Linked DNA regions of Ovis aries. The protein of the gene in region 2 interacts with the protein of the main gene of each other region in a biochemical or structural test. Links are inferred from orthologs where the notes say so. Each region holds a gene or a part of one and is shown on either strand. Other genes may lie near its edges. The genes, in order: MECP2, PRPF40A and U2AF2.

What was found.
Region 1: the proteins of PRPF40A (region 2) and MECP2 form a complex in vitro, tested with the Homo sapiens proteins (2 studies listed by BioGRID, with this or other methods). The link is inferred for Ovis aries from reciprocal best matches to the Homo sapiens genes PRPF40A and MECP2.
Region 3: the proteins of PRPF40A (region 2) and U2AF2 form a complex in vitro, tested with the Homo sapiens proteins (2 studies listed by BioGRID). The link is inferred for Ovis aries from reciprocal best matches to the Homo sapiens genes PRPF40A and U2AF2.

What each region holds. Positions count from the first base shown.
Region 1 is NC_056080.1:80,260,267-80,270,597, reverse strand, and holds part of MECP2 (methyl-CpG-binding protein 2), read right to left. Parts: intron 3,846-10,331; coding exon 3,495-3,845; intron 2,399-3,494; coding exon 1,315-2,398; 3' UTR 1-1,314. UniProt on the Homo sapiens protein: Chromosomal protein that binds to methylated DNA. It can bind specifically to a single methyl-CpG pair. It is not influenced by sequences flanking the methyl-CpGs.
Region 2 is NC_056055.1:156,955,915-156,966,245, forward strand, and holds part of PRPF40A (pre-mRNA-processing factor 40 homolog A), read left to right. Parts: intron 1-146; coding exon 147-284; intron 285-532; coding exon 533-628; intron 629-2,594; coding exon 2,595-2,681; intron 2,682-2,767; coding exon 2,768-2,864; intron 2,865-2,947; coding exon 2,948-3,009; intron 3,010-4,829; coding exon 4,830-4,961; intron 4,962-6,243; coding exon 6,244-6,336; 3' UTR 6,337-10,331.
Region 3 is NC_056067.1:62,667,489-62,678,368, reverse strand, and holds the start of U2AF2 (splicing factor U2AF 65 kDa subunit), read left to right. Parts: upstream 1-5,638; 5' UTR 5,639-5,747; coding exon 5,748-5,796; intron 5,797-9,291; coding exon 9,292-9,427; intron 9,428-9,914; coding exon 9,915-9,959; intron 9,960-10,193; coding exon 10,194-10,297; intron 10,298-10,394; coding exon 10,395-10,546; intron 10,547-10,880. Other genes in the region: CCDC106 (coiled-coil domain-containing protein 106), read left to right, coding at 1,271-1,292, 1,408-1,515, 1,604-1,780, 2,773-2,985, 3,342-3,658. UniProt on the Homo sapiens protein: Plays a role in pre-mRNA splicing and 3'-end processing. By recruiting PRPF19 and the PRP19C/Prp19 complex/NTC/Nineteen complex to the RNA polymerase II C-terminal domain (CTD), and thereby pre-mRNA, may couple transcription to splicing.

The DNA.
Region 1 (10,331 bases), on a different chromosome or scaffold from region 2:
AGGGGAGAAATAAAAAGGCTGAAATGAAAGGAGACAGAAACCAAAGGAGAGGAGAGAAACCAATCAGGAAGTCCTTATAAATTGCAGCAAACACTTAGAGTTTCGGAGCTTCGTGGGAACCCTATGTGCTGAGCCCACTTGAAAACAAGCGCAGGTATATACAGATCCAGGTAGTTGTCAACACTGTCACGTCTAGTGGCCTGAGGGACAAAGGGTCACCAAGTCAAGCCCGCTAGCTTGCTCGCAAAGCAGGTTTGTTTTGAAGTGGGAACATGAAGACTCAATAGTGCAAATAGTTCTAAGCTGTCCCTAAAGGAGTTGAGAATTGGAAAAGTTTTGGAAGAACATTTCCCCTGCCTTCCCCCTGGCCCCTGGCCCTGTCTACTAAGGCTCGAACTAGCGGCCACAACTGCTCTGAGCAGCTAGGGATGCCTTCTACCTGGCCTGTGGCACTCCGCCAGCTGTAGCCTGGGCCAGCCTGCTGGGGCCTCGGCACGTGGCCTTGGTGGCCTCTGTCTAGCGCTACCCGCTGGAGGCCAGCCCTGGGCCAATGTCGCCTCTGGCGCAGGCCAGTCGACACCCAGGGGGGCTCAAAGGATGCCTCCCTCCTAGCTGGGCCAGAACCGGGGCCGACAGGTGCTATGTCCCCATCCTGTGAAATGTCCTGGTCGATTTGGGATTGGGGCTGGTGGGGAGCCGTCTGTGTACCCCCATGGGTGGGATCACACGGGCTGGAGCCACTGGCCGTCTCCACCGTCTCGAAAGGATCCAACTGTCTCTTTTGCCCTGGACCTCCTGGTCCCGACGTGGGTGGGCATAAGGGGGGCTGGAGGGTGGGGTGGTGGAGCTCAAGGCTGGGCAGGGTGTGGGGGGAGAGGAGAGCTGAGACTGGGGTAGCGATGGCCCCCAAACCAGGAGTGTCTTCTCAAGTGCTCTCTGTCCCTAGTGACCACGTAGGGGGACTGGGTGGGAGGGAGGTGCAGGCACACCCTAAGAAGCCTGGGCAACAGCTTGTCTGGTCAGTAGTATCTGCAGCAAGCCTTGTTGAAGGAGCCTAGTTTAGAAAAGTGCAAAGCTACTTCTGGCCCTGGTTAGGTCTTCAACCTGACTGTGCTTGTCGATAAGAAAAAAACACCCCCAATGCTCCAACTACTCCCACCCTGAAGCCACGAAACTCTAAGTTTACTGAAAGAAAAAAAAATATTTTTTATTTCAGTTAATCGGGAAGCTTTGTCAGAGCCCTACCCATAAGGAGAAGAGACAACAGCTGCCTTTATTCTTGTTGGTTTGCTTTGCAATCCGCTCTGCGTAAAGTCAGCTAACTCTCTCGGTCACGGGCGTCCGGCTGTCCACAGGCTCCTCTCTGTTTGGCCTTGGCATGGAGGATGAGACAATGTCTTTGCGCTCTCCCTCCCCTCGGTGTTTGTACTTTTCTGTGGCCGGGGCCGCGGTGGCGAGCGCGGGCTGAGTCTTAGCAGGCTCCTTGGGGCAGCCATCGCTCTCCAGCGAGCCTGCTCTCGGCATCTTCTCCTCTTTGCAGACGCTGCTGCTCAAGTCCTGGGGCTCAGGGGGGCTGGCAGGGTCCTCGGAGCTCTGGGGCTCAGGCGGGGGTGGGGGCGGGGGCAGGAGCAGAGGCGCGGGGGCCTTTGGGGGCTCCACGTGATGGTGGTGGTGGTGGTGCTCCTTTTTGGGTGGCGAGGAGGCGCTGCCGCTGCGCCCCTTGGGGCTGCTCTCCTTGCTTTTCCGCCCTGGGCTCTTGCAGGTCTTCAGTCCCTTCCCGCTCTTCTCGCCAAGCGTGGACACCAGCAGGGGCTTCACCACCTCCTTCACCTCAATGCTCACCGTCTCCCGGGTCTTGCGCTTCTTGATGGGGAGCACGGTCTCCTGCACGGACCGGATAGACGACTCCTTCACGGCTTTCTTTTTGGCCTCGGCGGCAGCTGCAGCAACCACACTGCCTGGCTTTCGGCCTCGTTTCTTGGGAATGGCCTGGGGGTCGGCCTCCGCTTTTCGCTTCCGGCCGGGGCGCTTGATGACCATAACCTGGGCCGAGGTGGTGGCCCCACCCCCTTCTGCCTTGCTGCCCGGCGCAGCTTGGAAAGGCATCTTGACGAGCAGCTTTCCAGGACTTTTCTCCAGAACCCTTTTCACCTGCACACCCTCTGACGCGGCTGCCTTGGGTCTCGTGGTGCCACTCCCTTTAGGGCGTCCCCGACCTCTGCCAGTTCCTGGAGCTTTGGGAGATTTGGGCTTCTTAGGTGGTTTCTGTTCTCGCCGGGAGGGGCTCCCTCTCCCGGTTACCGTGAAGTCAAAATCATTAGGGTCCAGGGAGGTGTCGCCTACCTTTTCGAAGTACGCAATCAACTCCACTTTAGAGCGAAAGGCTTTTCCCTGGGGACTGTGGGAACAAGCGGAGACACACAAAGAAAGGTTAGAAGCTTCCAGAGCAATGCTGGAGGTGGGGCACAGGAGAAGGTGGATGGTGAGCCCTCTGACAGGAGATGTTCTGCAACTGACATGCCCGATGATACAGCTCACCAAGAGGGACATTTAAGAGAAGCTGAGATGAGCTAAAATTAGGGAGCTATGGTCCCATTTATACAGGAAGCAATCGGGTCGCCTGATGGCCATAGGTGCCCACGTGGCCTGCTGCTACATGGATGCCCCCGGGAGTTGCACTCCTCAGCCCCCCAAAGGGGTCTGGCCCGGGGACCCTGTCTACCTGCCAGACTGAACTCTCCAGGAATCAGTTTCCTCATTCGCCAGTAGGATGATGCTTTATCTGAGTTACTGGAATTAAATGAGACTGTACGAGTGAATTCCAAAATGGCTAACCTGTCTGGAGTCATTTAAGGGGGACAAGTGAAATGAACGTAGTCACACTTGTCCTCTAAATATCTGGCTAGGAAGTGACTCTGTTTCAACAGGTAACACCCAACCACCAGCCCACAGCTGGACAAAGGCCAGAGGGACAGTGGGAAAGGTACTCCGAGCCCATCTGGGGCTCTCTCTAGGCTGTATCAGACAGCCCCCCTTTACCAGCACGCCTCACGCAACAGACTGAACCCTGTGAATTTGTATTTCTCAGGGCTCATGAAGTATTGGCACAGAAGGACTCTCCCACAAAGAAGAGGTTCCCAGGTCCTGAGGACAGCCCCTCTGCTGGGAAATCATCAGCAGAGTATGAATGGCAGAACTCTGTGTCCCCAGTGCTATTCTTCCTCCAGACAAGGCCCTGATGGACATCTCCCTCAGGGCAGTGACCTCCCCAGGTGGTCATTCCAAGCATACCTGATCAGACCCACCAGCAGTGGTCACTACTGAAGACCCGACCGGAAGTGGGTTACGCACACACACTTTCTTGATCCATGAGCCGCAAGGAGCTAACACTCCAAGGGGTCCCCAAAAGTTTCTTAGTGGTGATCCCTGACTCTTTCCCAACCACCACCACTAGCCTTCCCTGCTCTGGAGAGACAGGAATCACCCTCACTTACTTGATCAAGTACACATCATACTTCCCAGCGGAGCGGCCAGATTTCCTTTGCTTAAGCTTTCGGGTCCAACCTTCCGGCAGAGTGGGGTCATCGTACATGGGGCCCCGATCACGAATGATGGAGCGCCGCTGCTTGGGGGACGCAGAAGCTTCTGGCACGGCTGGGGCCGAGCCTGACCCTTCTGAGGTCTCTGCTTTGCCGGCCTCTGCTGGCTCGGCAGAGTGGTGGGCTGCTGGCTGCAGGGGCTCATGCTTGCCCTCTTTGTCTTCTTTCTTATCCTTCTTCACCTTTTTGAACTTCAAAGGTTTGTCCTTCAGGCCCTGGAGATCCTGCTCTTCGGACTTTTCTTCCCTGAGTGTTAAACAAGGATGTCAGTATCACAGGGAACAAACTGGTGTGCAGAAAAAAGTGGGCGCCAGCAGGTCTGGGGTGCCCTGACATGGGCAGGGCCCCAGGAGAGGGGCTGTCCTACTAGCGTCCCCCAGATTGAAATGCCCTTCCCCTTCACAGATGACTTGAGAGCCTGGGGCTGCTGACAGTGATGGCCCACAGCACCCTACCGACACTGTGGTCACCCTGAGGCCCATCTCTAGCAGGCTTGCCAAGATGGCTTCTCGGTGTTACGAGCTAGGGCCTCTGGGTTGGACGGATGATGAGAGGCTCTCTCACCCGCTGGAGAGGGACCTACTCACCAAAATTGAGGGGGCTCCTCTTCCCCAGGGAGTGTTACTTTAAGTTTTTGTGTTTTTAAGCATAAGTGTTACTTTAAGCTTTTGTGTTTGGGGTTTTCTCAAATGGGTGTTCAATGAAAACCGTACAATACACCTTGGTGATGGGAAGAGCCCAACACTGCCCCTGGGGAGGTGGTGCCGAGTGCAGTGTTGAGGAAAAACCTGCAGATTTGGAGTAAGCCACACCGAGCCCAAATCGTGATTTTTTTTTTTTTTTTTGCCATTTCCAAACATGGATCTGCACAAGTGACTTCAACATCCTGTGCCTCAGTCTCCTCCTATCTTGACAATGGGTACCAACACCCTAGACAGAGAAGAGTCACAAAGGCATTGTCTAAACAGTGGGATGGGGCAACCAGACACTACTGCCCAGGGTTCTCACGTGAGAAGAGGAGCAATTCCCTGCTGGGTGAGTCTTTCTCACCAGACTCTCCTGACCACGCGGGGCTTTGGCACTGGGACGTGCCTGATTCCAGGGCGGGTGCCTCCCCATTCCTCCATGCTGACAGACCAGTTCCTCCGGTATGCATGGGTCCCACCCGGTAGGACCCCCTCCTATCTCCTTGGACAGTGGTTACTGTGAGGCTCCAGACTCTGGGATTAGAGTCTGGCCATGCTGCTCTCGTGGCTGGGCCAACAGGGTGAGAGCATCACCTGGGCCAGGGAGGCCTGGAAACCAGAACTGTGGGCTCAGAGCCAGTCACCTGCAAAGCCCTCTCTTAGAAACTCACCCTGGAAAAGAGCCAGACTCATCTGTGTTCCAGATCTCAGCCCCAGAGCCTCCTGGGGCCCGTGAGGCTCACAACAACCCACCCCAAGTGACTTCCCTTGCTGGCCATACCCTGGAGACCACCACCAAGGCACCAAGGCCTGCCTTGGCCGCAAGACTCGAATGACATGGCTCAGTCCCCAAAAGTGAGTTTGCACCAGAACTCACAGGTCGGGCCCAGGGAGACGGGGCATGGAAAGGGCACACCTCGCCCTCCTACCTATCCTGGCTGTCTCCGGCAGAGCTCGAGGGTAAGCCCAGGCTTAGCTCTGTGTCAGGAACCCAGACAGTCCCAGGCCACAGGAAAACAGGGCCCTGATGGCCAAGTCTGGCTTCTTCAGAGCCCTCATGTGCATCTGTGGATACTGTAACTACGGTGAGCTTTGGCATGAAGCATGTGCCCCAGGAATGCCCCTTAGGTACCAACAAGGGTGTCAATGCCGTCTAGGGCCAGCCCTTCTAGAAATCTACCAAGAACACATACCCACAGAAACAGAAAACAACATTCTGCATTTGAGCACAATGCTATTGGTGATAGCATTCTTTTTACTGGCCCAAGACTGCAGCCAAGCCAGACAGCCACCGCCCGAGACCTATTGGGCCAACACTGACATGTGCACACCACGGAGAGCCAGGTAACCTGAACCCCAGGGTGGGAAACTCAGGGTGGGACCCCCAGGAAGGGGTCCACGGTAGGCCATTCTCCAGGGGAGAAACAGAGACTTTAGGAAGCAGAGGGCAGAAATGCACAGAACTAGTCCAACATGGGGTAGGCGGGACTGAGGTGAGGAATGGCACAGGGCCAGAACTTGCCAGGTGTGTGGACCAGAATTTCATTTTCCGAATCATGTAAAAGTTGACATAACCAAAAAGAAAATCAAGACAGAAGGGAAGAGACTAGAACACGCCTAGCATCCATGGAGGGGAAACAGGCTGGCTCAGGTCCTAGGGCAGCCTGTGCTGGGGAAAGTGAAGATCCAAAAGCATGAACTGTTTAGATTTCAGAGAAGAAAATAACCCGCTTGGCGATGTTGGGGGGAAAAGGAGGGAAAGACAGAAAGTGAGGGAGGGTCTCAAGGGTCTTATGAGGAAGGTTTTAGGCAGCAGGGAGGCCTCAAGGAGGGGTCATGGAGCTGTGTCGGGTTTGATTCTGGGTGTGATGGGATTCCTTCAGCTGCTGTGTGGAGAGTGGCCTGCAGGAGACCCCAGAGAGCAGCAGGTGGCCTGGGGGACTCTGAGGCCTGCTGGACTCCATGCCACAGCAGCCCTGCAGCAGCATCACCTTGATGATCTGGGGCAGGGGATGGCAATTCCTCATGGGGCGATGCCCAGGGCAGGGCAGACTGCTCCAGGGGCTCTCGAGGCACAGTCCCAGGTGTAGGTAGTGGGGACTCGGGACGTGACCAGGAGGTGAAGCAACACAGCTGGCCGGTGTGGGGAAAAGTGTCACCAACTGAGGATAGGGAAACCTGGGCCAGCAGCAGGGTGGAGCGACAGCCAGCCCTGCGAGGAGGCACTGCAGGAGCAGCAAACACCGCATTATAAGCAGTCTCCACCTCAACACAAAGGAACAACTAAAAAGAAGCTCAAGGAGGGGAGGAGAGAATTCTTTGGCTACCAAGTAGGGAGACCCCTGTGCCCAGACTGCAACTTGGCCTAAATGAATTGCATGGGCTTTGAGAGATTTTTATTACAATCACATAGACATAACGTAAAACCTGCCCTTTCACCTAAATAATCGATAAATGAGTTTTCAATAGCACCAATGATGGGAATAAGACAGCCTTTAACTATCTATGACGTCCTGGCTCTTTCAAATTGAAATTACTTGAAGCTGCTATGAAAATATGGTGATTTTCAATTCTGTGGACTGACGGGCACAGAGGTGGTTTGGTACTTTTTCTGACTGCTACTGAAAACAAATAAAAGCCCACAAAGAAGCCTGGAAGCCATTCTGCTGAGTGTGAACTGGAGGCAAAAAGGGTGCCAAACAGGTAATCCAAGTGAGTCACCCCTGGCTCAGTTGCCTGCTCGGTGGCAGGGTAACCTGAAGGAGGGAGGCCAGGCAAATACTTGAGGCCCCCCAGCAGAAGGGTTATGGGGTTTGTTAAAACACAGTTTCAAAGAAACCAAACAGCCCTCTCTTCATCCCCCCTTTCATCAGACTGTATCTCTGTGTGCATGCGTGTGCACACACACTGCCCCAGAGAGGACCGTGAGAACTGAGTACCTAGTTCTTAAGTTCATCCATTTGAGACTTGTGGGTATCCACCTGATCAACTCTTCAATGTTACAGGTCAAAAGAAGAGCAGAGATAAGCAGACAAGGTTACCTGTCTGAGGTCATATCTGAGATGACATGTGCTCGTCGACGGCCCTTGCCCAAAGCCAGCCTCAGTTCTGGATGGGGACACCAGGGTAGAACCAGACTCACTCTCTAGGCTTCAAGTGCTCCCCGTTTGGGGGAGCGGATGAGGGGAGGCAGCCAAGGGTGACCCTGTCCTCTGTCCCAGGCACAGAGGAAGGCCAGACACAGCGGGTCTTCAGGGCTGATGATGAGTGCTCTGGGCACGGCAGACCAGGTGGGCCTGGGTGACCCCAGCAACAGCTCTATCCTGCCACCACTGGGAAGCCCCTCCCTGGAGGAATCAATGAGTCAGGGTAAGCCCCGTGTGTCACCCTGGCTCTCGACTTCTGAGAGGCCTTTCCTGCTCCCCACAGTGCCCCAGAGAGCACACACGTCCTCTTTCCTGTCGTCCCCTCGCTCAGGAACCGTGTGCCAAGGGAAGATGGCACCCTCTGCCCATCAGCTTCAAGGAGGCAGCCAGGACATGCCGACTATGGGTGCCTGGACCTTGGGGTTGGCAGGAGAGGGTGCTGGAGTGGCCACTGAGGGCCCAGGAAAGTCGAGAGTGACGCCTACAGCGATGGAGAGTGTGTGGCCACAGAGGACGGTCATGCTGGGGGTGCAGGTCCACGGATCGGCTCCCCGCAGTGAGGCAGAGAGACCTGCAGAGACTCCTCTGGCTGAAACTACCAAAATTGCCGGACTGAACGACTTCCAGAAGATGCTATAGAAGACAGTGCTTACAAAGGTTGACCAATACTCACAAACTGGCCAGAGACTAAGGAATATGCAAGCTAAAGAGGCCAGGAAGGGAGGGAGGGAGTCCTGTTTGGCGAGGACTCCAGCAGGCGCTCCATGGCCGACCAGTAGAAGAGCCAGGAACAGGGAAAAGCGGGGACAGGGATAAGCGGTGATAGCAGCACCTCCTGAGGCCATGAGGAAAGGCCTGGAAATAGAGGGGCATCCCACGCAGTGGCAGGCATGGACTCTTCAGAATGGGTTGCAGCTTGCGCAGAAAAAGGGCTGGTGACTGAAGACATGGGCCACTGGACTGGCTCACTGAAGGCAGCCGGGGAGGTGATGCTGAAGTCCTTGAGGGCTCCAACTGCCCCAAATGGATGCTCGGAGCAGAGTCAGCCTTCAGGCCTCAGGAGGGTGATGGCGTGCCTGCTTGGGGCACAGGGGCAGCATGTCTGCAGAGGCAGAGGTGACAGCAACATGACTGGAAACTGTGCTGCCCGACACCAAGATTTCAAAGCTGTTTCACCCAAGCTGTCTCACAATTAAAGAGGATGCCTTCACTTCACGTGGATATATTAAGAGAAAAGGCTGGAAACCTTGCAGAAGTGGCTTCTTTTAGTGGCTCAAAGCACTGCAACGTTTTCAATAGCATTATGCTCTAGATAGTACAGCTATGAGTGTGAAAGAAAGTGTTGACATGTTTCCCTGTGTTTAAAAAAAAAAATCACTGCCAAAGGCAGCCTTGCCCAGGACCCAGCTTTTAATATCAACAGAAAAACTAACCTGTACAATGCAGGGAAGGAAGCACCAATCTGGGGTCATGGCAAAAACCAGTCAGCTGATATTGATGCCACTTGCAAATGCCAATAGAGCCTCCAGTGAGCCCTGGTGCTTCTTTAACCACAATGGTTACTGGTTTTGTGAGCTCTGATTACCAAATCACACACATTTCTCATGGTCTACTCTGATCCAGTTTTTCCCATAACAACTTCTGTTTTCCAATGTGTGATTACCAAAACACACGATTTGGGGAGGAAATGACATATCACATTGAAGCAGAAGAGCTACACAAATCTTAAACATCTATAAAGACTGAGAGAAGGCTCTTATGTAAATAAAATCATTTGCTAATTATGCTCGTGAAACAAAAAACATTACATCAAATCCTTGCTTTGACCTAGCAAAGGAAAAAGAGTTGCAGGAATCTTGACTTCAGTCCAAATCACTGTATCCCAAGGGGTCTGATGGCAAGAACTGACTGTATTTTCCTAATGAAAGGAACCTCCAGTAATCAAGCGGGAGGCAGCCTTGGTAAGCCGTACCAGGCACTCTTTGGATCCAAGGCTCCTGTGAATTCCACGGGTGTGATCGCTGACATTTGGCACTTGCACTGATCAGACCATGGACACTCAGGTGGGATTACTCAACCCCCAAGGATTTCATATTAAAGACAGACAGACCACAAAACCAGGTGAAGGCTGTAGCTGAAAAGGTATTCTTCCCTTGAAGTGGAATCAGGCTGCCCCAGAGTGAGCTCTAGGACATTTCCAGAGCCCCAGCGATATCCTGACGTTTCCTAATTTCAGTCATGCTTGCATCAGGCCCATGTTGGGAGATGCGTGTGTCAGCACCTTTCATTTCCACCTTTCAGCCACCTCGTGGAGTCCGGTCAGGAGCCCAAGCCTCACTACGAAGCCACGAACTGGAAGGATGAGGGGGTGGCTACTTCTCCACGTCAATAGTCTGGGACCCGAGGCGAGAACAGGCCTCCCGGCAGAGGCTGCTTCTGTCCCGAAGAGTCAAGTACGAGCTACAGCATCTCAGAATCCAGGAGGTTTCTCTGCACGAATCATCAAGGCAGCAGCACTGTGAGTCTCCAGCTTTGGTCCCTTTAAAGATCTGAGAGCAATCAAACTGGCACTGCAAGATGGTCTCAGAGGTCTCTGCAGAGGAGGAAGAGGGACGGGGTTCTGCTTGAAGGCTTCAACAGTGGAACCTAAAGTTCAGTGGCCCTGTTCTGAACTCAGTGTATTCTTTAATAGCCCAGTTTTTAGAAGATGCAAGAAACTATGCTTTGAAAAGCTGTACAAAACACAGTTCATGCCGCCCAAAGATAGAACCCTCCCCAAATGAAGGCAGTCAGTGCCATACGGTAAGTCTCCTCGTCACAGCATGAAACCACTACATGTGGGAAAGATAAGCAAGTTTGAAAACACACTGCCACTGTGGAGAACAGTCAGGCAGTTAGTT
Region 2 (10,331 bases):
AGGTAACAGATAATATACTTAGATAATGAGTGATAGTAAATTCCTTTGCTAAAATTAATTGACCCTTACCTTATAGATGATGGGAGAATAATGAATTTAACACAAGTTAAATTGTACTACATATATATAAATATGTTTTCTAAAAGTTACTAGAAAAGGCAGAAGCCCGTGAACGTGAAAGAGAAAAAGAGGAGGCTCGGAAGATGAAACGAAAAGAATCTGCATTTAAGAGTATGTTGAAACAAGCTACTCCTCCAATAGAATTGGATGCTGTCTGGGAAGATGTATGTATACTTAAAAATTTTTTCCTTTTACAGTTGAAAATAAAAATCTTTTTCTTTCTCATAGCTACAGAGATAAACTGAAGTTATTTGAAGATTGTGAACTCAGCTGTGATGGCATTTAGGAATACTGGAGAAACGGAAATAAAGACAAGGGGGCTGGGCTGTCAATTTTCACTTGCTGTTTTTTTAGTCATATTGGTATATTTTTCTCAGTTTTCATATTTTTATTGCATATCTGAATTTTTCAGATCCGGGAGAGATTTGTAAAAGAGCCAGCATTTGAGGATATAACTCTAGAATCTGAAAGAAAACGAATATTTAAAGATTTTATGCATGTGCTTGAGGTAATTTTAGTTTTATTGTAATTGGCTGATACATTAAAAAATATGTAAAACATTTTTTTAAATCAAATTTAGAATGATCAAAGTGTTTTTCCTAAATTACACTACTTTTATATACATGTACTTAACTATCTGGGATGATTAGGGAATGGTTTATTCTATAGAAATTGCTTTTAAGTGAAACACACTAGGCTTGCATGAGAAGGTAAAGATCTGTTCTGTGAAGATAGTTCATATATGTTTCATATTTATACAGTGTTACAGAAGTTCATCAATTTAGGAGTCACATGGAATGATTAATAAACCTGTAAAGAACTTAGAATCTGTAAAGCAGATAGGAAACGGTTTTAAGCATATTTCAAATAGAGGTGTTGGAAGCACAGGGATGTTCTGAAAAACAGTAAGTTTTTGCTAAAACAAGTAATGATAAAATTGCAAATTATTCCACTAGCTGAATTAAGGGTATTTTGATGAAGATTTCAGATAGTCACTTATAGATAGTAAACATGCTAAATTGACCAATAATAATTATTATTTGGTGCCCATGTTATGTTTTATAAATATTACATATACGAATGTAATCCTCACAGAAACCCTGTGAAGTTACAGATGAGCAAACTGAGCCCAAGAGGAAAAGTAATTTGCTGTGAAGGGATTCCAATGTAGGCTTTGACTCTAGGGCCAGTGCTTTTACCAAGTATGCTTTGCCATCAGTTATGGATAAACTTATACTTCACAGCAGAGTGAAGTTAGCATATACTTAAATTTGTAATGTTCATGGTCTTTGGGAATAGTAGGTAACTTAATTGTTGATGATTCTTTGGATTTATTGTCCTTGATAAGTATCAGTGTTGACAACAATTTGCTCTGTTAACATGCCCCACATGTACCATATGTTGTCTCTCAGCTGCCTTTAGATCTAGTGCTATTGGCCTGTAGATCTTTTCTACTCAGATCAGCAGCATTTGCGTTGTCTGTAAACTTGTTAAAAATACAGAACGTCAGGCCCCATTGGCAGAAATGTATCAGAATTATTATTGTTGCAAGATTCTTAAGCACAGGAATGTACATTTAATTTTGAGAACCTTTGCTGTAGTGTAGTGTGTTAATATTTTCCCCTAATTCAGGAATGTCCACAACAAGATTCTTTCATGATCTATGCTGGTAAAGTGATGAGGTCATAAATGGAGCTGATGACCACATAGGGAAGAGCTGAACATACCAGAAAAGGATTTGGACCTCAAAAACGGGCGTTGAGGTAGAAAAGGAAGAAGAGTTAACAGTTAGTGACATAAAAAGTGAGAGTCCCTGGTTTGGGAGTAGGGGACTTCTACTGCAGCATTTCCTCTCTCCTTCTAGCCTGATCATTGTTCTAGTAAAATAGTTAAAATCCATAGAACATTTCCTCTTTTGATTTCATGTGTAGTTAGATTGCCTTTGGATATCTTAAGTTTGACTAGGAAGGGAATGCTCCTTGAAAAGAAAGTAGATTTTGTATTCAATTTCTGAGACTAACCTCCTTGACAGATGGCTCTGGGATAATCCTTTATTTCAGTGGTGAACTTAGCTCACTGACAAAAGGCACGTTCATCAAATAAATACTATATAATTATATTTCATTGTTTTTGAAAGTAGTATGACTGTTCTGAAGACATATACCTTTATAGAGGGTATCGGTTGTCCCCACTGTACCCAAACCATTCTCATTGCTGTAAAATGTATTTTATTAATACTTTTAAACCTGTGTTTAGATGTGAAATGAGTACGTATAGGATAGTTAAAATGTTCTCTTCGCTTTTAAGTGATAGTAACTCTTTGCACAGTTTCAAGTTGGGGAGTACATCCTAAAAAGGCAAAATGAATGTCGTTTTTACTCTAAAAAGAACTTACTTGCAAAACTATTAAAAATTCTCTGTGATCTGTTATCTAAAGTGTGAGCTTTTGTAATTTTTTTCTTTTGCCCCTGTAGCATGAATGTCAACATCATCATTCAAAAAACAAGAAGCATTCTAAGAAATCTAAAAAACATCACAGAAAGCGCTCCCGCTCTCGATCAGTAAGGAAGTTTATTTCAAATGGTACCATAAGTATATTGAAGTATTTATTACCATCATTATGAATAAAATTATTTATGTTGTGTAGGGGTCAGATTCAGATGATGATGACAGCCATTCAAAGAAAAAAAGACAGCGATCAGAGTCTCGTTCTGCTTCAGAACATTCTTCTAGTGCTGAATCTGGTAAACATATCTTTTAACTTGATTAAAGTCATTGGCATTTGGATGTCCTCAAATTCTGACACTTTTCTTTTCATGCTGCTTAGAGAGAAGTTATAAGAAGTCAAAAAAACATAAGAAGAAAAGCAAGAAGAGAAGACATAAATCAGTAAGCAGACTCTTGATTTTTATACTGCACCTAAGCTTTTGCCCTTAGCTTTCTCAGTGGCAGTAGACATTTCTGCTTGGTCCTATACAGAGTTTAGGTGAGCACCTGAGCTCAAGAGTTTCATAGTTGTGGTTCACCTTAATCTTGCAATAAAATCCTTTGGTGAACTTGAAACAAATAGTAATCTTAGAGAAAGACCCGTGTGTGTGTGTGTGTGTGTGTGTGTGTGTGTGTGTGTGTGTTATAGCTATTGTTGAGAACCACAAGTTTAAGCAACTTTCTCTTCTATGCTCGGTTCTTGGTCTTAGGTACACATCAAGATACACCTAATCTTAGGGATGAAGGTACACCTAATTTAGTGACCCATTTTTAGTGATAATTTACCCTATCAGACTGTCATGTTTCCCATAGGAAAGACCAGCTTGTTGCCATGAATCTTTGGAATGTTTTAGATTCCTTGAGGTTATCAATTCAGATTTCACCACTCTCAGTTCACTTCAGTCGCTCAGTCGTGTCAGACTCTTCGCGACCCCATGAATCGCAGCACGCCAGGCCTCCCTGTCCATCACCAACTCCCAGAGTTCACTCAGACTCACATCCATCGAGTCAGTGATGCCATCCAGCCATCTCATCCTCGGTCGTCCCCTTCTCCCCCTGCCCTCAGTCCCTCCCAGCATCAGAGTCTTTTCCAGTGAGTCAACTCTTCGCATGAGGTGGCCAAAGTACTGGAGTTTCAGCTTCAGCATCATTCCCTCCAAAGAAATCCCAGGGCTGATCTCCTTCAGAATGGACTGATTGGATCTCCTTGCAGTCCAAGGGACTCTTCACGAGTCTTCTCCAACACCACAGTTCAAAAGCATCAATTCTTCTGCGCTCAGCTTTCTTCACAGTCCAACTCTGTCATCCATACATGACCACAGGAAAAACCATAGCCTTGACTAGACAGACCTTTGTTGGCAAAGTAACGTCTCTGCTTTTGAATATGCTGTCTAGGTTGGTCATAACTTTTCTTCCAAGGAGTAAGCGTCTTTTAATTTCATGGCTGCGATCACCATCTGCAGTGATTTTGGAGCCCCAAAAAATAAAGTCTGACACTATTTCCACTGTTTCCCCATCTATTTACCATGAAGTGATGGGACCAGATATCTTCATTTTCTGAATGTTGAGTTTTAAGCCAACTTTTTCACTCTCCACTTTCACTTTCATCAAGAGCCTTTTTAGTTCCTCTTCACTCTTCTGCCCTAAGGGTGGTGTCATCTGCATATCTGAGGTTGTTGGTATTTCTCCCGGCAATCTTGATTCCAGCTTGTGCTTCTTCCAGCCCAGCGTTTCTCATGATGTACTCTGCATATAAGTTAAATAAGCAGGGTGACAATAGACAGCCTTGACGTACTCCTTTTCTTATTTGGAACCAGTCTGTTGTTCCATGTCCAGTTCTAACTGTTGCTTCCTGACCTGCATATAGGTTTCTCAAGATGTAGGTCAGGTGGTCTGGTATTCCCATCTCTTTCAGAATTTTCCACAGTTTGTTGTGATCCACACAGTCCAAGGCTTTGGCATAGTCAGTAAAGTAGAAATAGATGTTTTTCTGGAACTCTTTGCTTTTTCCATGATCCAGCAGATGTTGGCAATTTGATCTCTGGTTCCTCTGCCTTTTCTAAAACCAGCATGAACATCTGGAAGTTCATGGTTCACGTATTGCTGAATACATAAATACCATGTTAAATGTGGGTGTTCTTAAATATTACCAATACAAGGTTTTTTTCCCTAATAGCATTTTAATAAAGTAACCATTTTAACATTGTCTTTTATTTACAAAGGACTCTCCAGACTCAGATGCTGAAAGAGAAAAAGATAAAAAAGAAAAAGACCGGGAAGGCGAAAAAGACAGAACTAGACAAAGATCAGAATCAAAACACAAATCACCTAAGAAAAAGACTGGAAAGGATTCTGTAAGAATTTAGAATTCTTCCTCTTTGTATCTACCAGTTAGCTGCTTTTCACACAGAGCAGTTTTCTAATGTATGTCATCATGTGTGACCCAATTTAAGCATCCTAAATTTCATATTCATTAAAAAAATAACATGGCATTCTGTCACTGTTGTTTAACCCTCTAAGAAAGAATATGTTGTTCTAGCTTTGTACATTCTCATTAAGAAATGCCAATGGATGTTTTCTGCCTAATTTAAGAAACTCAAATTGGGTTTTCCCTCGATATGGCATCGTTGTAAATCCTGTTTCAACACGTAGCTTTCCAACAGCTTTTAGAAATAATAATCATTTGGGAGGGAAGAGGTGAGGGCAAAAGGGGATCTTATAAGCCAAATCCAGTGTTTTAATATTGAATTACATAGTCAATCCTTAGTTTTCCCCCATATGTATGTGTGTGGCAGAGCATATAACACAAGCCTTTCATGCCACAAATTCTGTGGGCTTAGCAAGTATAATGCCTCTGAGCTACCAACTGAGAGTTTAAGCTGTGTAGTAAGTCCTCGTCCTCCCTTAGGATTTTCTCCTTCGGTCGGAATAGGGTGGAGAGGTGTTTGTTTTCAAACAGCACTGAAGAGTCTGATGTACATCTTTAGTGAGGAATGATTATTTCCTCTGTACCTACTTAGTGACTTAAGTGTCCTTACATTAGATTAAATGGGATCCCTGAAGGGTGATGGAAAATATAGGTGAACACTCTATGTTTGAAGAGTTGAGTTCCTTCTCAAAATGTTTTGTGTGGTTTTTGTTGTTTTTAAAGTTTTTCCAGCCTAACTTGTCCTAATAACTCTGGGTACAATATAATAATGCTGAAAAGATAATACTTTAGTATAAAGCACAGGATAACCTAGATTCTGAAAAATTAATGAAGAATACTTAGAAAATGAACACCCAGCTTCCATTAAATGGAAATAAGATGATTCATATTCAGTTATGTAGAAGGAAGGAAAAGAAATGGATACATACTATTCTCCCTGATCTACATATCAAACTGAAAGTAAACACCTTAGAAGAGTTCCGTTGTGAGAGAACTGTCTCCCCTGGTTACTTACTCCACAAGTAACCAGGGAGTATTTGGTTAATTCATTAGTAGGCTTTTGGGAAAGAAATCAGTCTTTAATCAGTCTGTGATGCCTTAGTTTTTGTGGAAGAGAATCCATGTAGATTTTGTATTCTTTATTCAAAGGTTCACTACTATTTACCCTTTTGAGTACTGACACAATCGTATTCATTGTTGTTTTTCAGGGTAATTGGGATACTTCTGGCAGTGAACTAAGTGAAGGGGAATTGGAAAAGCGCAGAAGGACCCTTTTGGAGCAACTGGATGATGATCAATAAATTATACCAAATATGTTTACAGTATGATTTAAAGTCTAATTCAGACCAGGGACTCTATTTTAAGTTCAATTGAAATAACACTGGGTTTTAATTATATCACAGGAAAAAAAAAAGTGCATTTAAGTATTGTTATTGTGGACTTTATAAAAGCAGAGGAAATTGAAAATAACTTTTGATTCTGTATCAAGAATCATATTTTCATACAGTCATAACTGTCTGTCTGTGACCCTTTCATAGGGCACTGCAGGATGGATTAAAGGTGGCAATTTACTGATAACTGCAGGTGTCTCTACTTTATTCTAAAGTGTAAGTCATGAGGTGATTTGATTTACTTTATAGAAGTTGGATTTTGAAGATATAATGGAAAAATTTTGATATCTAGTAGTACAAAAAAAAGCACCAGCAACTGATAAACTGCTTTTTTGTGCACTACCCAACTGGTTAATGATATGATCTTTTATGGTAAACTCAGAAATAAGTGTTCATAATGGAAACCTGGTAGACCCTTAACTATAGTGGTGCTGCTCAGCACTGCTATAATAAAGCCACCATTATTTTTTATGGAACATCTGAATACATTTTGAAAAGGCTACTGTGAGGGCATTATTTTGAGGTGATGTTTAAAAAGTTAACATCAAATCAAATTGTAAATTAGCTTAAATATATTGCCTTAAGGACCTACTAAAGAATGTGCCACCAAACTTTAAGTGATGGCTGCAATATCCTTGTCTAAAACAAATCAATGTTGACTTCAGCAATTTCTTTAACAGTTTTTTTTTTTTAATCCGAACTTTCTCTTGCTTTTTTTCATTGAGGAAGTCTTTTACCTTCCCTACTCACTGAGAAGTATTGACTTCGTGGTACACATTCTAAAGCATTTCTGATTTGAATATTTTTGTACATTTTTATCAATTATTAAATCTTCTCTTCTAGTGTGTACTAGTATTTATTTCTACTGCTCAGCTCTGAAAAAAAAATTGTATGATTCTTTAAAGGTTAAGATACTAAACCCCTAAAATTTTGCTTTATCTAACCCACATAGCTAAGTTACTTTCCTTTTTTAATATTTAAGAATATTATAAATCATACAGGCCCCTCTATTTGTTTTTGATCTATGAATTTCCTACAGAATACTTTAAGAAAGGCAATGGTTTGAAGCTAGAATACTTTTTACATGCTAACTTTTGAAGGTTGGTAATGTAATTTATACTATTTTCCTTCAGTGCAGGAGATTTTTTTTTTTTTTTTAAGTAAATAAGTAAATTTTAGCACATAGTCTTTGGTATTACCTTAGGTATTTTTTTATTTTGGGCATTTGGGGCAATCCTGTTTCACGTTGGGATTTAGAAGAACAAAAAGTTCATTTTCCCTTCACCATCCTAATGAATTTGAAAGTGGGACATATTGGGATGACTTTTCCCATCTCTGCCCCCTATGTTTCAATTAAATCTAGTATCCACTCTTGAAAGCTGCAGAAGGCTGGGGGAGTCCTGAACTTTTCTCAATGCCAAGTCATATTTCTGCTGTGAAATATGACATGACTTTGTAGAAAGTAAAAACCACTATCTTCAACAAATGCAAAGCCAGTTTCTTGCTTGACGTTAGTCTCCTATTGTATATTAGAACCACAACATATAACAACTTTATCAACAGGCAAGTTGCCTAGACTTAATTTTCAGAGGCCCCTTCATAATAATAGTTAATATTGCTTATCGTGTCAAACACTTAACCTGGACATCAAAGTAAAATTTACATACGATATTGGCAGAAATATTGGTGGTGTTTCACAGAATTTAGAATCTGTAAAACTTTTAATTACTTCCATGAATCATGATTTTTTAAAGTAGAACTTTAAAGTTTTTAGTTTTCCTATTAAACTATTGACATGATTTAGCATATTCCAAATTAACTTTCTGTATTACAGAGATACTATCTTATCACAACTTCAGATTCCCATAAGACAGTACAAACTCAAGTTTCCTTATTGTTCCAACCATGAAAATTATTTGACCTAAAAACAAGGCTAATGAGTTGTAAAGCAAAACTACAACGTAGTTTTTATAAAGTATGTAATTGAAGTGACTATAATCCTGTAGTGATCCCATCAAATGGCATTAAGTTGCCAGACAGATGCTATGGCCTGGGATATAGGTGATGGGTAGATTTTATTAAAATAAGAGTTATGTGTGAATATCTTTAATCCATTTCATTAGGTTTCTGGGTCTTCAGTCTAATAAAGTTGAAATGTCTTAGAATATTGGTTTTAATAGAGCTGAACAGTTATGTTCAAAATGTGTTCAAACAGAAAGTATGTTTATATTCAGATAAAGGGAATTTATACTTTTCAGTTAAGCCTCAGACTTAGGTAAATGTTAAGGGCTTATCTTCCCTCATTATCATTAATATTAATGCACTCTTGGATTAAATTCAGTAATACATTTAATATCATGCTTAATAATCAAAATTAGGACTTCAAATATTTTTTATTCCTTCCAGTATAAAATTCCAGTATTTAATTCCTATGTGGAAAAATTGAATTGGTTTAAAAAGTTAATGACATATGAAGAATTCTTTGCACCTCTCCCAAGTGTATTTAAACAACATAAAACTTTTAAATAAAAGCAGTGGTCCCAACATTTTTAATATAGTGATGCCATTTCATTATCATTACCCAAAGGAGCGTCAACCTATAGATTATTCATGTGTTTCAACAATGAAAATAATTTTTATGCCTCCCAGTAAATCTGAAAATACTCAAAGTATCACAGCCATTTCATCTTGATCTTTGCTAATTGCACCCCGTGTACAACAATAGTGTGAAAGGGGTTGGCCTAGAGTAAAACAGTCTTTTAATTCACAGTAGTAAGACTGTTAAACTTCAAATATTTGTATACATTTTTCTGAAAAGAAGGTCCATAGTTTTCATTCAGTTACCAGGGGGCCTGCATCTTGTGTTAAGAATCATTTGCCTAGGTGATCCTGGTTTTCTTCCAGTGTTAATGATCAACTGAGTGCTGACTAGGCAGCCACTTTTATTTTTGCATCCAGATAGGGGTAAATCCTTTATTTAAGGATTATTTAAAACTTGGATACTATTTGAGAGAGCAGTTTCTCATCAAATAGTACCCAGCAAAGAGTAATGAATGCATTTTTTTAAATGAGTTTATAGGGTGTTGATTATGTAACTTAAATGTAAATTGCAAAGCTAAAGAACTAAATAAACACTTCTAAAAGCAAAATTGAGGCAAAGCACATTAATTCCTTTATCTTAAATCACTTTTTCTTTTCCCTGGGGGAAGTCTCTCCCAATAGCAGGTCAATTTTTTTTTTTACATTTTCTAGGACTCATTTTACATGAAGGAAAAGCAAAGTAACATCCCAAGTAATTTTCATGGAAATGCATTCTTAGTTCATAGTTTCATTCTATGGTTCAAATAATGGTGTATAGCAATCTAATCATTCTTACCTTCCTTATTCTTACCTTGCTGTTAAGTTTTTCCACCATTTTGATGTAGGTGGTGGTCAGATTCCTTGGGGGCAAGGATTTGTGTTTTTCCACCATTTTGATGTAGGTGGTGGTCAGATTCCTTGGGGGCAAGGATTTGTGTTTTTCCACCATTTTGATGTAGGTGGTGGTCAGATTCCTTGGGGGCAAGGATTTGTGTTTTTCCACCATTTTGATGTAGGTGGTGGTCAGATTCCTTGGGGGCAAGGATTTGTGTTTCACTCACTGTCATGCAAATTAGAACAGTGCCTGGCACATAGTAGGCATTTATTGAGTGAATGTAAAGTAAAATATCAGTTGACAGATGTGCTCACCCAGCATCCGTGGTACTCGTCATCTGTATTAAAGGGCTTGAAAAAGCATCATTGCAATAAACCATACTGAACCCCAAACTAACTGAAGTTCAGTGAAGAGACGTTCTAGTGACTGTGCCTCAGTCTTAACTATTCCTTCAGAAATGTCCAAATGGTTATTATATATGAGAACATAC
Region 3 (10,880 bases), on a different chromosome or scaffold from region 2:
GCTGCGAAGGAGCGGCCAGGATTGGGATCTAGGTCCGAAAGTTGCAAAGCCAGCTCTTAACACGGGGGCAGGGACTGGTTTTTAGGCCTTTGTTTTCGGGGAGGGGTAACTCACTAGTCCGAGGGCCCCGGGAAGCCTGGGGTCCTGCGTGCTCAGCCCAGGGGAGATGCAGGAGCGGGTCGCGGGGGTCCACTCCGGCCAGTTCTCAGCATCTCTCTTAAGGGGATCCTCAGCTTTCCTGGCTGTTCCCTACGTCTCCCTGCCTCTCCCAAACCCGACCCGGCGCCTCCTCACCCACCCGGGTGACCCCGGGCGCCGCCAGCTCTCCAGGAATTGGGAATTTCGTGACGTTCCCTGACCAGGCTTCGCCGAGGGCGGGGGGAGTGCTGCAAGGGGCCATCGCGCAAGTGCGGGCCGGGTCTCCGCCGCAAACGGCCGGCTCACCAGGGACCCGGGACTCCTGGAGGAGGCACGCCACCTTCGCACCGGGTGGCCCCGGCTGCTGGCCCTCCTCGTCGCCCGTCTCCGAGACTCACCGCCGCCTCCGCCCCGCCCGCGGGTGGGTGGTCGCTTCCTTTCGCTCCCCCTCACTCTTTGCAGACGCTCCCCAGCGCCGGGCATGGGCGCCGCCGCCACCGGTCCCCGGGCCGGATTCCGCGCGCGGGTGGGTGAGCGGGGATCCCCGGCCAGCTCGGCCCCGGGCACTGGAGGGGGTGGTGGCCGCGTCCGCACCTGCGGCCAGGCGCATCCTCCGCGGGGACCACTCGCCGCGGCCCGCCCTCCCGCCCGCGGGACAAAGGGCGGGGGCGGCGCATCCCCACGCGTGACCTTCTCCCGCGCCGCGCACGCCCAGCCCCCCAGCACCGTCCGGTGCTCGCCCGGACGTTACCCGTGGGTGGGGAGGCCCGCCCGTGGCTGGGGTCCCCACCCTGCACCTGGAAGTTGGGGCACTCTCCCAGGCCGGTAACCTGTGTCGAGACCCTGTCGGCCTACTTCGACCAGAACCCTGCTCCGTCGACCCCACGGGTCCTCCTTCCTCCAGCTCCCCACTCCCTAGAGCCTAGGAGTTTGTAACCCCAGGTGTCCTCAGTCTGCCCCGCCTCCGTCAGACCCACGAGTCCCGGCCTTCAAACAGCTTTCCCCACGTCGAGAGCCCCAGGTCCCCCGGAATGCCCCCCAGAAGCCCGTCTGTGTTCCTCCATCTGTGGCTGCCCTTTTTGTCCAGTGGCCCTGAGGCGCTCAGCTGCCGGGGTCTGCAGAAGGCCGCGCCATGAACAGCCGAAGGAGGCCAGGTGAGGAACCGGGGCCCTGCTCCACCCACCCAGGTCCCTGCCCTTTCCTCCCAGGCTGGGGTCTGGTCCGAGGCCCCGGGACCTCCCTTGGGTGAGCCTAGCCTCTCTCCTCCAGTGAAGAAGGACAGCGAGGCCTTGGAGATTTCCATCCCCTTCGATGAGACGCCCCACCTGGACCCGCAAATCTTTTACAGCCTGAGCCCCTCTCGGGGGAACTTCGAGGGTGAGTGGACTGGAGGGGGACTGAGTCCCGTGGGGGTGCAGCCAGGGTCCTTGAGACCTGGGGTGTGACCAGGGCCGACCGCCCCTAGAGCCGGCGGAGGCTGCTTCCCCGACAGCGGCCCTGATGAACGGCATCCGGGCCCAGCTGCACCTGGCCCTGGAGAGGAACTCCTGGCTGCAGAAGCGCATTGAGGACCTGGAGGAGGAGCGGGACTTCCTGCGGTGCCAGCTCGACAAGTTCATTTCCTCTGCCCGCCTGGACGCAGGTGAGGGCGTCCCCCCTCCCCAGGGCACCGGGCTCCACCTTCCTCAGGGACATGGTGCCCTTGCATTCACACTCCTCCTTTGGTGGCTCTCTGTGGGCTCCAAGCCCAGCCTCCTTCCCGCTTGAGTCCTGCTGATGGGCGGGACTGTGGCCTGATTGTCTGGGTCCTGAGCACTGCCCCGACCCCTCCCCACAGGGGCTTTCCTGTCCCGAATCTTTAACAGTGGCCTGGAGGATCTAGCCTCTCCTCGACCTCGGTGGTGGTCAACCCCTGGCTGGCTGCCTCGAAAGCTTCCACTTCCTCTCTGGAAAGTCATCTGAGAGTTAGGGCGAGGGCCCTGCAGCTTTTCTCAACACCTACCTCATTGGGGATCCCTGTGCTCTGGCGCCACCTCTGGCCTGGGTTGCTGGGGTCTACCACCATCCGCCCCCCCCATGCTGGGGAAACCCACGCAGGATGGTCAGGGGCAGGGGCCCCTGGACTTTCTTTGTGGTAAGACCAGCACCGGGCTCCGAACCCGCTGTTAGAGGGAGGGCCTGCATCAGAACCTGGGCAGCTTCCCGGTCTGGGTGAGGGCGGGGGCATGCCCTTCCCGGGGGGACTAGACCTAAAGACTATTTCTCTTGGGGTCTGAACCCCACGCCCCCAGCGAGCCCTTGCCTGCCCCTACTCTTCTGGAGGCCTTACTGGGTCCCCAGAAAACTCCACTGTGAGAACCCCACAAAATCACTCTTTCCTGAGGTCCCCGTGGTACTGGCCTGGTCCTCTGGGCCTCTCCCCCAGACCTCTTGCACCAAGTCTGAGCATCCTCAGGCCACGCTCCACCCAGGACCCCCAAATCCCGGCCTAGTGTACTGTGTTCAGCTGGGCGTCTGTGCTGCACTTCCTCCTGGGAGACCCCCTTTCCCGGGGACTCTGTGACCTGCCGCCCGCCACCTCGATGTCCTGTTCCCGCAGTTCACGTGTGTGCGTGTCTTCCTGCCCCTCTCCAGACGACCACTGCCGGGGGAAGCCCGGGCCTCGGCGGGCCGAGGGGGACGGCCGAGGGGGGACAGGGGGTGAGGCCTCAGACCCCGAGTCAGCCGCCTCCTCGGTCAGCGGAGCATCTGAAGAAGGCAGCACCATGGAGAGGAAGAGGCAGAAGCAGAAAGGAGGCCCAGGCCGGCGGCGCTTCGGGAAGCCCAAGGCCCGGGAGAGGCAGCGGGGTGAGTGGGGGACGCGGGGGCTGGGGGTCTGTATGAGCTCCCTTCTCCCCGCCCCTGCATCGGCAAACAGACCAGATCAGACCTGGTTGACTGTCTGGGCCTCCGTGGGTGGTCCTGGAGTTAGGGCCTCAGGCCCCGGGGGAGGCAGCAATGGCCCAGGAGGACTGGGAGGAACGCAGCCCTTCCCCGCACTCCGGCCCTCCCCGGGCCTGCCTGTCTCCCCTTCTCCCACCGTGTGTAACTCACAGCTAGCCTCCTGGTCTTTCTGGTTCCACTTTCTGCCTCCTCCCGCCCCCCCGCCGCCCCCCCCCCCCGTCTCTGTACCCCCAACTCTCTCCCCTGCCCTCGGCTTGCAGTGAAGGACGCGGACGGGGTGCTCTGCCGCTACAAGAAGATCCTGGGCACCTTCCAGAAGCTGAAGAGCATGTCTCGGGCCTTCGAGCACCACCGAGTGGACCGCAACACGGTGGCGCTGACCACGCCCATCGCGGAGCTGCTCATCGTAGCCCCGGAGAAGCTGGCCGAGGTGGGCGAGTTCGACCCCTCCAAGGAGCGCCTGCTCGAGTACTCGCGCCGCTGCTTCCTGGCCCTGGACGAGGAGACCCTCAAGAAGGTGCAGGCCCTCAAGAAGAGCAAGCTGCTGCTTCCCATCACGTACCGCTTCAAGCGGTGATCCCACCCCACCCGGCCCGGCGCCCGCCCTCCGGCCCCTGCTTCCTCGCCCGGCGCGCGGGGCCGGCGTGTGCACGGGCGGTGGGCCCCCACGAGGGCGGCTCATTTCCACTCGGACCGCCACCCCCTCCCCAGGCCCCCTGTATATAGGTCTGTCCCCTGGGCCTCTCACAGCCCTAGCGTCCACCCTGCCCTCCGCCTTCCCTGGGTTGGGGGCTGTCCTCCCTTAGTCCTGCTTCCAAGAGGACCACCATCCAGGGCCCGGTTCTGTCTTCCCTGACCACTGGCACCCCCGCATCTGAGCGGCACCGTCCTGCCCTCGCTGGGCCCTCCCTCCTGGGGAAGACTGCGGGACCCTGCGGGGCGAGGCCACTGTACATATCCCGTCCGCACCCCAGCCCCGCAGCGAGCTTCCCACCCGCCTTCCGAGACCGCCCGAGTCCACACGAGACAGAGCTATTAAGATAATTTAAATTAAAATGATAAAATTTGGAATAAACTAGGCCCCGGCCTTTTCCTGGGCAGGGGGTGGCCGTTGCCGCGGGGACGGGGGCTCTGGAGGATTCCGGAGCGTGGACCGTCAGGCGGGAGCCGGGGAACTGGGCGAGAAAGGGTGTAATTAGCTCCCGCAAAGGCAGGGGTGGGAGGGGAGGCAGTTGTGCCCTGGGGGCGGGGCAGCACTTCGGGGAAAGTGCGTGAGCACCACCCGCTGGGCTACTGGGACCAGAGGCGCGGCGGCAGGAGGGACTCCATGACCTCCGACGGAGGTGGCCTGCCGGGGCAGCCGGGAACCTCCGAGCTGAGGAGTCCGCCAGGAGGCGGTATCGCGAGATTATCCGTCTCCCGGAAGTGTCCTCCGCGGCGCCTGCGCGGCGGGGCGAGCGCGCTTGTGCGGTCGCCACGGCAACTAGTAAAGAGGCGGCGTAGCTTAACGGTTGGGAATGCAGTGCCCTCCCCGGGGTAAGGGGAAGACTCGCGCACGCGCGCTGAGGGCTCTGGAAGCAGGGGTGGGGGGGCCTTTCTGGAGCGGCTGAGAAACCTCGCCTCAGACCGACGTCTAACGCAGGCGCAGAAGCCCATCTCGCCCCCCCCGCCTCTTTCACCCTGCGCAGGCGCACAAAGCCGCGCTGGCAACCTCCGCAGCGGCCGCGCGCACCCTTTACCCCGCTGGCTGCTTTTGTCTCGCGCAGCCTTCTTAGGCTCTCCACAGGAGCGGCCCTTCTTTTCCTCCCCTTTCCCCACCCGGAGAGTCAGGTGCCGAGAGCTGGGACGCTGCCCTTCTCCGTTTCCTCTCCCCTGACCCACCTCGCCTCTGTCCTCCCTCCCTTTTCGGTTCCCGGAGCCGGAAGGAGCCGAAGCACTGACGGAAAAAGCCGAAGCTGTCACCCGTGAGTGGGGGGTCTTCCCGAAGTGGTGGCGGAAGGAGCCGAAGTTCTCCGGGAGGGGAGGAGGGTGCCACTGGAATCTCCGGAAGGAACCGAAGTTTGGAAACAGCTAGATCTCTGACTGGGTCCGAAGGCGAGCGCCGGAAACCTTCGGAAAGTGCCGACTCCGGGACGGTTAGGACTGTCGGAAGTAGCCGATTCGCTTGGACTGGGCCGGCGGAGAAGAGCGGGGAGAATCAGCGCAAGCAGTCAAAGGGACGGTTTGAATTTTCAGAAGAAGCCGGATTCTTAGAGGGGGCTGGGTACAGAGGAACGCAAGGAACTCCGAAAACATCCGAACGTGGAAGAGCTAATATCCGAAAAGTTACGAAAACTTGGGAGAGTCCGCGAAACCCTCACTTCGGGTGTTTTCGGAAGCAGCCGTAGTCACCGCTCCGGACGCTTTCCTCTACGGTCCGGAAATAGCCGACGCGTTTCGGCGCCAGACCCTGGGGGGAGGGGCACCTCGCGGGCGCGCAGGCGGTGAGGGGCGGAGCCGGGGCGGGGCGGGGCGGGCAGCCAGGCCTTGATTAGGTAGGAGGCGGCGGAGCGCCGGCGGCGGCCGGAAGTAGCCGAAGCTAGCGGCGGAAGTAGCCGAAGCGGCCGGAGCGGGCGCGCGGCAAGGCGAAGCGAAAGCTGCACAGCGCCCTACGCGGCCGCCTCAGCATGTCGGACTTCGACGAGTTCGAGCGGCAGCTCAACGAGAATAAGCAAGGTGAGAGTGCCGGGGGAGAGGGGCAGCGGGCGGGGCGGTTCTTGGCTTCCCTCCGTGTCCCCCGCCATTTTTCCCGTCGCTTCCCCCTCTTCTTAGGGCCGCGCGGCGCACCCCCCCTCCCGTCCCGCGGCGCGCGCCTCGCTCACGTGACCGCCCGGCGTGCCACGCGCGGCGGGGAGGGGGCGGCGGGCGCCGACCCGGACGCATGCGCACCGCGCTCCGCTCCGCGCCTAGAGTGGTCGCGTTGGAGGCGGCGCTGGCGCAGCGGGCTCGCCTGGTGTCACCTCACGGATTTATGCGTTTTTTAATCTGGAAAGGGGATTGTATAGATGAGTCCAGCAACTCCTTTTCGCCCGACGCCCTGGCACTTCCGCTTCCGGCTGGTTAGGCCTGGTTCTCCACGCCCCCTTTGTTCCAAAATGGCGGTTGTGGGTCCCCCTTCACGTGGGCGCTGGCAGTGCCGCGTGGGGAGCACCTCTCACCCCGGCGCCTTTGCCCTTCTTCCTGCTCACCGGCCGCCGGGACCCCGCGGGCTGCTAGGGTTGGCGGCGGTGGAAGAGGCCGCATTGTCCGTGCTCTGTGCCCCTCCCGCACCCCTGCACCCCTTCTTGGGGCCCTGGCTCCCCCGGCGGTCGCAGTGCGGAGTGTTTGTCTGTCATCGCTCCCCACGGCCTGCATGATCGCGCCAGCCTCCTAAATCTCAGCGTGGAGCGGATTCTTGGGCACTGAGCGAGGAGAGGGCTCGTTTCACTTCAGAGGGTGGGAAGCTCGTCCCCCTCGGGAGACGGCGAGTCCAAGCACGGGGCTGTGATTAGTTTGGGGACTCCAAGAACGTTAGCGCTGGGAGAGTTGTAGGACAGTTAGCAGATTTCCTTGCCGCCTTAATCCGGTTTGAGAGTGAACAAATTTGGGTCGAGGGAAGGTGGCGGGCTTGAGGCTTACTCTGCTTGTGTCTGGAACGCTGAGTGAGGGGCGCTGGGATTCACCTTTCGGCCCAGCCTGAAGTTGGGGAGGGGGTGGCTGGATCAGTAGACTGTGCCTGGGGAAGCGTACCTACCCACAGGTTGTCTGTCCCATACGTGATGCACTGCTTAACAGCACGGGCTTTGGAGGGGAGCAGACGATGAGTAGCACCTGATGAGTGCCTGAGTATTTGTGGGCCTATTTTTTTCTCACGTAGGTCGCTGGTGTTTTTTTTGGTCGCTAACAGATGATAGTGATAATAGTTAAGTTTACAGCACCCACCACAGTGTGTCACGCACGTTGCTAAGCTCTTCTGCAGTTTTCCTAAGAGGGTTCTTGTAACAGCTCCGCGAGGCTGAAGTGATTTCGTACCCTTCGCAGAGGTGGAAACAGACTCAAGAATAAAAGCTTTCCAGATTTCAGCTGATGAGAGGCAGAGCTGAGATTCAGCGGGCAACATGCCGACAGTGTGTGGCATGTGGCTTGGCCTCTTTAAAGTACCCAATAAGTGAACCTTTTCAACGGTGAAATCGTTCATAATGTGCGGGCTCACACGGAAATGTGGACGCGCGTTTCCAGCAGATGTACCCAAGCCGTACACCTGGGGGTGCCCAAGAGCCTCATTTAAATAACAGGAGAAAACAGGTTTAGAGGTTTGGTTGCTGTTGCACGGTTTTGTGCAGGAAGCTGAAACGGCCCCTGAGTCTGCGGGGCTGCGGAGTCGCGTCCTTCCAGGCTGGACAGCCAGAGCTGATGGAGCTGCCCTGGGGCCCTGACACCCGCGCTCTGGTCTCTGCCTGGGTGTCCCCTCTGCCCTGGGAGGCCAGGCCCTCAGCCTGGGCATGTCCCTGGGGTTGGTGAGTTGTTCCATAACGACGTGGCCGTGGCATTTAGAGCAGCCAGAGCTCCCCTTCTGTTCTGATGTGTGCTGGATCATTCTGTTTTTGTTTTTGTTTTTTTTTTTTCTGGGGTGGGGCAGGGGTTTCCCTTGCTTTATGGGGCAGCTTTGCCCACGTGCTGCTCTGCCCCTGAGTCTGTCTTGGCGGTCCTGCCTCCCCCAGGCCTCAGCCCCTGCGACCTGGGTTCCGTGTTTGTGTCCATGACACCCGGCGGGCACCAGTGCTTACTGTGTGACCACCTCTCTCTGGTTGTCTGTTTCTGAGCCTCAGCTGCAGGGAAGGGTGTCTCCCCGTCTTAGCAGTGGGGAGCCAGAGGCCCAGAACCGTTGTCCATCCCCTTCCCAGGACCAGGATGCTCCTCACACTGCTTGCCCGTTCCTCCTGGTGCCAGTCTTGGATATATTTTTCACGTTTAGTCTTTTCATCTTTGAGGAGGCAATTTCACCATCACCAGTGGTTCCAGCCAGGTCCTAATGGGTCTGCCTGTTTCGTGTTTAGAGGTATTGCCCCTGCCTAGCTGCCCTTGACCTTTCAGGGTTCATATTCAGGCTTCACCTGTATCCAGGCTTTTTGGCCAGGGCAAGTCACATGACCTCCCTAAGCCTCAATTTTCTCGTCTGTTGTGAGCGAGATTCCCGCTCCCAGCAAGTGTTTCCCCACAGTAACCCGGGGAGTAAAAGCAGCAGAGTCTGGTTTTAGACAGGATCTGAGTGTTTGCAACGAGGTTTTTTTCTTTTCTGGGTGCGTATGTAGCTTTAGTGTTAAAACTCATTTATAAAAGTTCGCGGGTAGTTGCTTCGGAAGAGCTTGAGAGTTGAAGCAGTACGCCCGAGGCTTTGACAGCCTGTCCTTACTGCCCCCGCCTCCTTGTAAAATGAACTGGAGTCTGAGGGCTGGTTGAGCATAGTGGAGGAACCAGTGGCCTCTTTGAACCGAGGGACTGGACTACAGACCGCGTGGGGCAGAAGCCGCGCGCCTCGGAGGGTGGCGGGCTGCTGGGCAAAGGAGGGGAGGTCGAAGGCCCCGGCTGTAGCGGCCGTGGGGCGGTCTGGACGAAGGGCCCACCCAGCTCCTGCGTCCTTGACGCGGGGGTGGTGGGCGGGGCCTCCCAGGAGGGCGGTCCGCTTGGGGGCGGGGCTGGACGGGTGGGTGCCCCCCCCCCCCCGGGGCTGCCCGGCCCCGCCCGGCCTGACGCGGGCCCGAGGTGGGGCGCGGGGCCGGCTGGTTGAGGAGGAGTCTCCTGAGGGGTCGCCGGGTCCCTTCAGGAAAACATCACTGGGTCTCTTGATTCCCCAGCGTCTAGCCCTGCCCCTCTCAGGGACGACCCTGGGTCAGGCCCCTCAGCCCTGGAGGGGGACCAGGAGCCAGCCTCCTCTGACTTCTCTGGCCCCCCAGCTCCTCCTGAGCAGACTCAGGTACCTTACACCCCGGGGCCCTGCCAGGCCCTGTCCCCTCAGGTAACTGCTCCCGCCCGGCCCCCAGGGCCCTCGGGCTCCGCGTGCGTGGACAGGAAGCCTGCCGCCCCGCCCTCCTCGAGCCCTTCCCCGTGGGGGTGGCCTCCCGGGCAGGGGCGCGGCCTCGGGGGCGGGCGGGCCGGGCTGCCCCCGCCCAGCTCACGGCCCTGTCCCCGCAGAGCGCGACAAGGAGAATCGGCACCGCAAGCGCAGCCACAGCCGCTCCCGGAGCCGGGACCGCAAGCGCCGCAGCCGGAGCCGCGACCGCCGCAACCGGGACCAGCGCAGCGCCTCCCGGGACAGGCGGCGCCGCAGGTACCAGGGCGGCGGGGCTGCGTCTGGGCCGCCGGCCCCTCTCCACGCGGGGCTGGGGGCTCTGCTGTCCTGTCTGGCCGCCGTCGTCTCTCTGCGGGGGCTTCCGGGGGCGACTCTGGGGTCAGGGCCCCGCTTCCCCCGTCTGGTCTGGGTTCTCCGTCGGCTTCCCGGGCTGCGCTCTGCCTCCCTGGGGCGGGACGGCGTCTCTCGGGACAGCTCTCTGCTCGGACGCCTCTTCCCTTCCCAGGCTGCCCCCTGTTCTCTCAGCCCCAGTGGAAGGGCGGGTGGGTGGCGCCCCGCCTCCTCCCACCTCAGCCTCCAGCTGGAAGCTGGTCTGTCTGGCCCTTCTTCCCTTCCTCGTGGCTGGGGGGCTTGGGGGCGATGCCCTGCCCCAGCCCTGGGGCTCAGTGCCCTCGGGGGGGTGCGGTGTGCGGGGAGACGAGGGTCCCCAGTCACCCCTCCCCACACCTTTCCCTCCCACCCCCAGCAAACCTTTGACCAGAGGCGCTAAAGAGGAGCACGGTGGATTGATGTGAGCTTCTCTTCTGCCCCTTCCCCCACGCCCTCCCCCGCCTCCCCGCGCACCCCGCCCTGTCCTCATCCGCTCGCCGGGAAGAGTCCCCTGCCCAGAACGGGTCGGCCCTGATTGCGTCCTCTCTCTCCTTGAGAGCCGAGCCGGGGACCGAGGGGAGCCGGGGGGGCTGCAGGCCCGCCTTTGGTCAGACTGAGGTCGCCCTGCCCCACTCTCCCCTCCCGCCTCCCCCAGTCGCTCCCCCCGCCACGAGAAGAAGAAGAAGGTCCGCAAATACTGGGACGTGCCGCCGCCGGGCTTTGAGCACATCACCCCCATGCAGTACAAGGCCATGCAAGGTGGGCTCCACGCCTGGGCTGGGGGCGGGGTGGGCGAGGCCCTCAGCAGACCCTGCTCCGACAGTTTGTCCTCTGACCCCTTCTGTCCCTCTTGAAGCTGCGGGTCAGATTCCAGCCACTGCCCTCCTCCCCACCATGACCCCTGACGGTCTGGCTGTGACCCCAACGCCGGTGCCCGTGGTCGGGAGCCAGATGACCAGACAGGCCCGGCGCCTCTACGTGGGCAACATCCCCTTTGGCATCACTGAGGTACTGCCCTCCCCTGCCCCCGCTGCCCCCCCTTCCTGTGCCCGCTGTTCCTCCCTCCGTCCGTTCCCTCCCCCAGCCTGCACGGGTCAGACTCTGCGCCTGCAAGGCCCCCCGGCCCCCTCCCCGACGGACGATGGAGTTGAGCCAGCCAGGGGCCGGGCTGGGTGGCCCTCTCCTCCCTCCTCTTCCCTCTCCCATCTCCCCTCCCCAGCCTCCTCCAGCTGCCCAGGGATCAAGCACACACATAACGTACCCACGAGTCTGTGGTCCGAGTCCGTGTGGAGAGAGACAGAGAGGGAGACACGCACACGCACACACACGCAGACGCACGCCC